Linked DNA regions of Macaca fascicularis. The protein of the gene in region 1 interacts with the protein of each later gene in a pairwise test. Links are inferred from orthologs where the notes say so. Each region holds a gene or a part of one and is shown on either strand. Other genes may lie near its edges.

Region 1 (4,446 bases):
TTTAGTATCTGCCAAAGAATTGAGATCTATTTGCAGAGCAAACAGCCATATTGTTTTCTTAAGACACTACTGTAGGCAGAATAATGATCCCCCAAAGATGTTTATTTCCTAATCTCTGGAATTCGTGAATATATTAGCTTACATGGCAAAAGGATTCCGCTGATGTGATCAAGGGCAGAGGCCTGGAAATGGGAAGATGATCCTGGATTGCTCAGGTGAGCCCTCAGAATCTTTTCCAGCTGCCATCAGCGGTAGACTTGAGGATGGAAGGGTCGGAGATGGCACGTCACTGGCTTTGAAGATGCAGGAAGGGGCCAAAGGCAACGAATGTTGACAGAAGCTGGCGAAGGCAAGCTAAGGATGGTCCTGTGGAGTCTCCAGAAAGGAGTGCAGCTAAGGTTACACCCAGTAGTACTTCTGACCTACAGAACCGCGAGACAATAAATGCAAGATGATATATTTGTGCTGTTTCAAGCTACAAAGTTTGTGGTCACTGGTTATTGCGGCAATAGGGAACGGATACAGGCCCCGTCAGGTATTTCACTCAATCCATGAAATACCTTAGAGTATGCAAATGGTAACAAGCGCGGAAGCCACTTACGGATCCCTCTGTCTGCGCTGCCTGGGAGCGTCAGGGGCCGTGTACCTCCTGCACCTCGCGGGTGGGCGCGGCTGCCTCAGATGCTCCGGGCTCAGAGCAGACGGCTGAGTCTCCCGCGTTCAGCGACCCGCCAGAAACGTCAGAGGGACGAAGGAAAACTTTACACTTTAACAGTATTTTTACGTTTATTCCCAGCAAATGTTGTTGGCTTTGTATTTAAAGTATTTATGATTCACTACAAAGTGTAGGATCCAAGAAAACGCGCTAGTTTCACTTGGCACCTGTGGGTGTCCCGGGGAGCTCTCCAAGGAGGGACTGGCTCCTGGAAGTTCCTGGGGTGCGGCACCACCACGGACGAACCAAGCTCCACCGAGAAGCCAAGAGCCGCGACCGCCGGGACGCCCTCTGCCAGGCCTCCACCGCCTCAGTGGCCCTTCACAGCCACTGCCTTCCCAAGCCCCCCAGTTATGACCAGCGTCGCTCAGCGCCCGGCCCACCCAGCGACCTCAAACCTCGCGACACTCGCAACTCCCGCGGCCCTTCCTGCTACAGGCCTCCTAGGGGCGAGACATCGGGAAGATGGCTCCGCCCACGGAAAGGAAGATTTCGTTCTCGCGAGATCCCAGTGACAATTCGGCAGCCCGTTCTCGCGGGATTTTCCAAGGCCGGGATGGAAGTTGCGGGGTTAGGAGACTGAGGTCAGATCCTGAGGAGGAGATTTGGGGGTCGCAATGCTGGCCTCGTGTTCTCCACCGGCGGCGGCGGAGCCCGAAAGAACTAGGTGAACACCGCCTTGCCAGCCTCACACAGCGTCCCGTGGCTCTGCCGCCGCTCCGGACGTCGCCCTCCCGTTCTCCTCGGGTTCCCTTAGTCGCTGCCTTAGCTGGGATCCCCCTCCTCCTTCCCGTGGCTTCGGGTTGCCGGAGAGCGATGCTCGGAGGGCGACCGGAAGTGGCGTTGGCCGCCATTGGCCCACCGGCCAGCCACCTCGCTGTCCTCCGCCTTCCGGGTGTTACGTGCAGCCGGGCTCGGCCCCTCCCCCTGGCCGGATGGATCCCTCGGCGCCACAGCCCTGCGCGGAAACCGCGGGCAAAGGTACCAGCTCCGCGCTCGCCCCTTACCCAGAGGCCTGTCTGCTGCGTCGCGTTGGACCAGTTCTCGCCGGTGCCCTTCGGGTTGGGGTTTGCCCTGTAGATCGTCTTCAGTGACAGCTGCAGATTGTGAACCCCCTGCAGGCCTGGGACCAAATCTCCGATTCAGTGTTGAGAACCTGGACTCGGGGGTCAGCCCCTGGGATCTAGTGCTGCCTCTGACAGTTACTTGCTGAGCAACTTTGGGCAGGTTCCTCATTTGTAAAACTGGGTTCATTACTAGGTTCTTGTGATTTTTAAATGACGTGGACAATACGCAAAGCATTTATGTGACCCCGCGTCTGGCCCATATTAAGCACTCAGTAAACGTCATTTTCATTCTTTATCGTTGTATGCCCAGTTGTTAGTGAATGGCAGACGTTTGTTGTAAGTAGGTAAATGAAGGTTGAGATATTTAGTTCAGTGGAGGTTTATTGCCTATTGAGTCAGGGCATTATATTCTGCCTTAAATAGGAGGTTTAAAGAAGGTGTGATAATCTACCACAAGTCATCTGGGATGCCTTCTGGCACCCAAATGAATAGCTTTCATTAATAATTGTGCTGTATAACAAAAGCTACCGGGTATTGAGTGATTTTCCTGAGCCCACCAATATGCTGATTGTTTAACTACTTGCTTTCTTTTGAGGAAGATATCAATCTCATTAACTAGATGAATTCAGAGCTAAAGCTCAGAGAGGGCAAGTTACAAGCCTGAATTCTGAGGTCTAGGAATTGATGATGCTGTAATTCAGGGGCCACACATATAAATACCTATAGGAGACTGGCAGCTAAAAATAAATAGATGAAGCTGCCAAGTGGAGATTATGGTGACTGGGACGTTCATTCCTTCTGATAGATCTAGTCACTCTGGTATTTATTGGTGGAAGGAGCAGAAAGCTCCAGGGCCCCGAGGTAGGAACATGCTTGAGGAATAGCGAGGAGGCCATTGGAGTGAAAGAGGGAGAGAGAGACCCCATCACCAGAATGAATTGAATTGATAATTAGTTTAAACCAAAACAAATGATTTCGACTCATTAAATTATAGGAGACTTAACCCTGTTAAATCCAACAGGAAATCCTCACAATTTAAGCAGTTGTTCTGTAGTTTGGATATTGAGAGATTCCATTTCTAACTCAAACTTAGCTGAATTTTTTTCATTCTAGAAATTACCCAAACTCAGAAACCAAAAATACTCCAATAAGTTGTGTGATTCCCTTAAGGTTTTGTTTTTTTTTTGCGCTTGCTGTACACTTATCTGAAATACAGTTCTTAGACCCCTTTCCCTTTTAAATTACATTTCTCAATACTCCCTTCTCATAGCATTTTTCTTCCAATGCACTTTTTACAGTTATGTATATGTTTATGTACTTTTTAGTTTTCTCTCTCGCAAGATACCAAGGATCTATGAGATCGATAATTTGTAATAGGCCAGGCGCAGTGGCTCACACCTGTAATCCCAGTACTTTGGGGAAGCTGAGGCTGGAGGATAGTTTTAAGTCCAGCCTGCAAAGTAAACGAGACCCTGTCTGTACTAAAAATAAAAATTTTAGCCAGGCATGTTGGTGCACACCTGTAGTCCCAGCTAATCAGGAGGCTGAGGCGGGAGGATGGCTGAGCTCAGGAGTTGGAGTTTACAGTGAACTATGATTGTGCCATGACACTCCGGACTGGGCGACAGAGAGACTCTTGTCTAAAAAAAAAAAAAGAAAAAGAATGTGTAATAAATTCACATGTTCATTGAATGTCTGCTGTGTGACTCTGTGTTGGTCCTGGGGATAAAATTTATAACAGTACAAACTTTTTCTTGGGAAGGAAATTACTCTCTAGTGGAAGAAAAAGACAAAAACAAGTGGACATGATAATTAAATGTTATGGTAAGTGCTACAGAGGCAATAAAATGATGAGATATAGAATAATGGGGTACCCTACTCTAAATAGGTGGACTGGGAGCAGAGAGCCTGGTTAGGCTTAATTTAGGGAGAGTTGATGGTGGCATGCTTTAAGACAGAGGTCAGCAAACTACTGTCTGTGAGCTAAGACTGGTCTGACATTTCTTTTTGTAAATAAAGTTTTATTGGAATACAGCTCTGCCCATTTGTTTATGTATTGTCTGGTTGCTTTTGCATTACAAGGGCAAGAGAATGTATGGCCTACAAAATCTAAAGTAACGAATAGCTAATGACTGACTCTACAGAAAATGTTTGCCAGCCTTTGCTTTAGTGAGATGGTGGCATGGAGGAGAGTCATTCATTTTTGAAGTAAAACCAGGCCATTCTGACAGACTGGATGTAAGGAGTAATATTAAATGAGGTTTAAGGGCTAACTAATGGTTTTCTACTTTGAAAAGTTGGTTAGATGATGATGCCAATTAATGAGATGCAGGAAAACTATTAGTCACCATCATTTTTGACATTAGTTTTCTTCATTTTATACTCATTATGTGGTATAATATTTGGTGAATAATTTGTGCTTAAATCACGTGTGTTGAATAATCGATAATAAAATGAGTCTTAAAAAATGATAGGGGAGGCAAACACATAATGGGAAAAGTAAGTAATGGGTTAATAATTGTATAAGGGTTGCTTTAGGTTTTAAGGTGCAAATAGTACTGTTATGAAAATAGGGCCCATTGACCTATATGTTGTTTTACTTGTACAGTGGATCAAGGCTTTAGTTTGACATTAAAACACTCTTTTAGAATGGTGTAACAGTTG
Region 2 (4,575 bases), on another chromosome or scaffold:
CTCAGGGACTGTAAATGCACCAATCTGCACTCTGTCAAAATGGACCAATCAGCTCTCTGTAAAATGGACCAACCAGCTCTCTGTAACGTGCTCTGTAAAACGGACCAATCAGCAGGATGTGGGTAGGGTCAGATAAGAGAATAAAAGCAGACTGCCCCAGCCAGCAGTGGCGACCAGGTCCGGTCCCGTTCCACCCTGTGGAGCTTTGTTTCTTCACTCTTTACAATAAATCCTGCTGGTGCTCACTGTTTGGGTCCAAGCTGCCTTCATGAGCTGTAACACTCACCGCGGAGGTGGTTTCAGGTTATTCCTGAAACCAGTGAGACCACAAACCCACCGGAAGGAAGAAACTCTGAACATATCCGAACGTCAGAAGGAACAAACTCTGGACTCACCATCTTTTAAGCACTGTAAAAGTTCTTACACTCACAATGAGGTCTGTGGCTTCATTCTTGAAGTCAGTCAATTCCGGACACACTGTGAGACCTTGTAGCTGTGCAGGGAAGAAAGAAAACACAAACTTAACAGAGCCCACAAAATATTTGAAGGGCAGATACAGTTAATGTTTCTTGGGACTGGCAGTTAATATCCTCCTTTAACTTCAGGAGGGCTGAAATTCTTTTCAGCTTTGGTTAATACAGCAATTCATTCTATGAGCTTTTATTTCTCTTACTATAATTTTACTATTAGTACTTATAAGGGAGGAGACCACCCCCCCATATTGTCTTATGCCCAATTTCTGCCTCCAAAGAAAGAAAAAGTAAAAACTAAAAGGCAGAAATGAAATCCACAAGCAGATAGCCTGGGGCCACACCCAGGGCCTGGTGGTTAAAGATCGACCCCTGACCTCATCGGTTATGTTATCTATAGATTACAGACATTGTATAGCAATGCACTGTGAAAATCCCTATCCTGTATTGTTCCGATTTCATTACCGGTACATTCTGCCCCCAGTCACGTACCCCTTGCTTGCTCAATCGATCAGGACCCTCTCACGCAGACCCCCTTAGAGTTGTAAGCCCTTAAAAGGGACAGGAATTGCTCGGTTCTTGACACAGGAGTCTTACTGATGGCCCTGGCTGAATAAACCCCTTCCTTCTTTAACTCAGTGTCTGAGGAGTTTTGTCTGCAGCTTGTCCTGCTACACTTATGCTATTATTCTATTATCTTCTTAATTTTCCACTTCATTAGGATAACAAATGGAGGCCGGGCTCCCATCCTCCTCCAGCACTCCAGGGCTGCCTGGCTCAGCAGGGATCCTCCACCTGGTTTCCGAGGGAATTCCCGGGAGGCCTTTCCAAAACACTCCCATTCCCTTCCACTAACTTCAGGGGCCAGGAATGGACACTCACTTTCCTCAGGCCTGCTGCCCTGCCTCGCGTTTGCAGTGCGCAGGAAACCGTGTGCCAGCAAGGGGCGCAGGCACGGCCAGCAGGGGGCGCCCGCGGACCTCCCAGTGAGCCAGCTGCCCAGAGCCGGAAGTGTCCCGGGTGCTAGGACTCCGAGGGGTCCGGGAGCCGCGCCAGGACCGGAAGTGTACGAGGCGGGAGCGCGCAGAAGACGCAGGCGGCCAGAGGAGGCCAGGGGAGTTCCGGTGCTAGGAAAGAAGGTGGGGATTTAAGTTCTGGGTGGGGCGCGGGTCCCACAACCGCTCGGAATTTGCCTCCTGGCTCCGCTCTGGAAGCTAAGAAGGGGCACAAGAAGTGGAGAGAGGGAACCTGAGAGCAGGGAAGCCAGTAGCCGGCGGGAGGAGCGCGCTGTTCCTCGGGTCGGAAGGAGCCGGTGCAGCCTTGACCCGCGTGCGGCAGGGTCAGCGAGGCCCCTGCGGTGCTTCGCCGCCGCCTTCCCCTCCGCAGTCACTGGCCCTCTGGGCCTCCCACAGGTCCAGCAGCGGGTACCGGCCCCAAGAGCGAGGGCGGGCTGTGAACTGGCATCACATCGCGTTCCCGCGGGGGCCCCCTTCCGCTTAGGCAGGGAACGGCCGGCATGGGACTGAGGTCTGTCCGCGAGCGCGGTGCCCCGGAGACCCGGCTTCTGGAAGGTGCTGCGGCCTGCCCTTCGGGCCCAGAAGCAGGGCGGGGAGGCGCGGGGTCTGGAGTCTGCAGGACCTGGCTGCGAATCCAACCAGCTGATTTCAAACTTCTCTGTGATCTTCTGCAAGTTAACTCAGTCTCAGTTCCTCGTTTGCGAAATGTACTTAATATGCACCCCAGGGTGAACCAAATTTGTCCACATAGATTGCAGCAGTGCACTTGCGAGGCGCCTTAGGGAGTAGGAGTCACTAATATCAATGAGTTTTGACAGAAATGAGGGGGCATTGGCAAAGGTGTGCCCCGTGGCCATACAGGTTAGGAGGAGGGCCTGCTAATATTTTTTCTTAAGTTGTAAACAGCCCTCTGAATGAGCAATACATTATCAAATTGTGATTCAGAGAGGACTATCGCTGACTACTTTTTTCTGGGCATACCTCTGCTTCAGGAGCTTGTGGCTTAATTCCTAAGTGGAAGGTAGAGACCTAGGCCCTCTGAGTCACAATTCCATCTCTCTGGGTGAGGACTGAGCTCCAGGACTGCAGACTGGAGGCAGAACAATTGGGATAGGAAGAAGAGAGGCCAAACTAGATCAGAGTCTGGCGTGGGCTTCAGAGTCCACAGACTGGCACAGTTATGCTTCGTGGCCCCTATTGCTGGTTCAAGTTTGACCAATCAGAAATATCTTTAGCTTAAGGGCGGGGTGTTGGCCAATGAGACTTTATTGTGAAATAAAATGCCCTCAGTTTCATGTAACTGAGCCACCACAGAGGAGTGGAGAAATCGAGTTGACCAGGTGAGGGAGAGGCCATTAAGAGATATTTTAGGGATTAGATGGGCTGGGCATCCCGAGGACTGGCATTTGGGGTGGTAATGAGGAGGAACATTGGGGGCCTCCGCCTCTTCCTTTCCTCCTGTGCTGAGTCAGTCAGCACAGAGGCTGCAGGAGGTAGCTCTGGTTGGCTCTGGCTGCCTGTAGGGGGCACCGCTTTGCGGAGGTCAGAGGGCTCTCTCCTGAGCCGCTCTCATGCCCACAATCACGTCTGCCTGATGTCTGTGAATGGCCGTCTGAGTCTCCTGGGCCCTGCTCACCTTTTGGTCACCTTTGGCCTGCCCTGCACCGGCCGGTAACTGCTTGATGACTGGAGGTATTGGAATTCACTGAACTTTATTCTTTGTAGGAATCAAAGATCAACTCCCACTGAGGACAAATGGACCTGTAATTCCGGGTGTGACGAGAGAACGGGATTTACCTTCCTGAACTAAAAAGCAGGTCATTAAGCTTTGGCCCTGACTTTTCTTTGTGAGAAGGTACAGAGATGGAAACCTTACAATCCGAGACTAAAAAGAGGGTCCTTCCCTCATGGCTGACAGCCCAGGTGGCTACCAAGAATGTGGCACCAGCAAAGGCCCCCAAGAGGATGAGAATGGCAGCAGTGCCGGTGGCAGCAGCAAGGTGCGACAACTCTGGTCAGATAACTCCTGTGAATCTGGCGAGTGGAGCAGGGACCTCCACGACCTGGGCCAGGTCTTCCAGCGTAGGCAGAACAGCAAGATGGGCAGGTGTTTTCAGTCTGATCATCTCTTGAGCTTTTAGGAGGTGGAGGGGCTGTGGGCAGGAGGCAAAATGGGTTAAACCTCGAGGACAGGAACCCGCTTCTGCCTCTGCACTGGTGAGTGCTCTGCTGTCAGCACACACACAATGGGTTTTCCATGTCAGCCAATCTCTGAGGCCAGTTGTCCAAAATGTGAGTCTCTTCCTTTACAACAAACATGGTAACATCAGATGGGCAAGATCAGTGGTAGGGTCTGTTCTGAGTGGTGCCTGCTCCTCCTGTGGACAGCCCTTTAGGGATGGACAGATGAGCAGCAGCTGCGGGGCCAGCAAGCGGTCAGGAGCTGAGGAGTGAGTTGAATGACGGTAATTGCGTGGGGTGGGGTGAGTCTCCAGGCTGCAACATCAAGTGGGCGGGGCCCCAGCACTCGGTGTTCCCCTCTCTGGCTCCTCCTCCTCTAAGGTTTCCTGACCGACAGCCTTCCCATGTGACTGCTGCCGCCTTTCCCTAAGTCTGGTCCTGCTTTCAGGTTCCTCTCAGTGCAGCCTCGGCCTGAGGTCCCCTTCCTCTTGCATCCACGTGTGTGTTTCAGAGGCGGCAGCCCTTCCCTACTTCCAGATCCTTGTAGGGCGGTTGGTGGAGGGTGGGAGGCACCCCGGTGTTGCCTCCATGAAGCCCTGTGCCAGTCACCGGTCTGCAAGGCTTAGGAAATTGTGTCCGTGTTGGAGAAAGCTCCTCGGCTCAGAGGTGCTGGTGCCTCCTGTGGGAAGTTGGCGGGAAGAGGCCCTCTTGCTCCTGTTTTCTTTGTCCTTGTGAGACCTGAGAGTCTGTGTCATCTGTGCCTTGCGTGTCTTTGTTTCAGACACCCTGCGACAAGGACTGTGTACTGCATGAATGAGGCCGAGATAGTCGATGTTGCTCTGGGAATCCTGATTGAGGTAAAGTCAGCCAAGCCTCTTACTCATGACCAGAAACTCTGCATGGGCAGA

What was found.
Region 2: the proteins of ERCC6L2 (region 1) and CYREN interact in binary tests that used the Homo sapiens proteins (3 or more experiments, as listed by UniProt). The two-hybrid records come from large-scale screens. The link is inferred for Macaca fascicularis from reciprocal best matches to the Homo sapiens genes ERCC6L2 and CYREN.

The regions. Positions count from the first base shown.
Region 1 is NC_088389.1:127,167,362-127,171,807, reverse strand, and holds the start of ERCC6L2 (DNA excision repair protein ERCC-6-like 2), read left to right. Parts: upstream 1-1,569; 5' UTR 1,570-1,650; coding exon 1,651-1,696; intron 1,697-3,188; exon of another isoform or gene 3,189-3,587; coding exon of another isoform or gene 3,588-3,606; intron 3,607-4,446. Other genes in the region: putative uncharacterized protein ERCC6L2-AS1, read right to left, coding at 1,159-1,569. UniProt on the Homo sapiens protein: Promotes double-strand break (DSB) end-joining and facilitates programmed recombination by controlling how DNA ends are joined in a spatially oriented manner during repair.
Region 2 is NC_088377.1:176,837,195-176,841,769, reverse strand, and holds the start of CYREN (cell cycle regulator of non-homologous end joining), read left to right. Parts: upstream 1-1,540; 5' UTR 1,541-2,041; exon of another isoform or gene 2,042-2,826; intron 2,827-3,181; exon of another isoform or gene 3,182-3,211; 5' UTR 3,212-3,349; coding exon 3,350-3,486; exon of another isoform or gene 3,487-4,448; coding exon 4,449-4,524; exon of another isoform or gene 4,525-4,575. UniProt on the Homo sapiens protein: Cell-cycle-specific regulator of classical non-homologous end joining (NHEJ) of DNA double-strand break (DSB) repair, which can act both as an activator or inhibitor of NHEJ, depending on the cell cycle phase.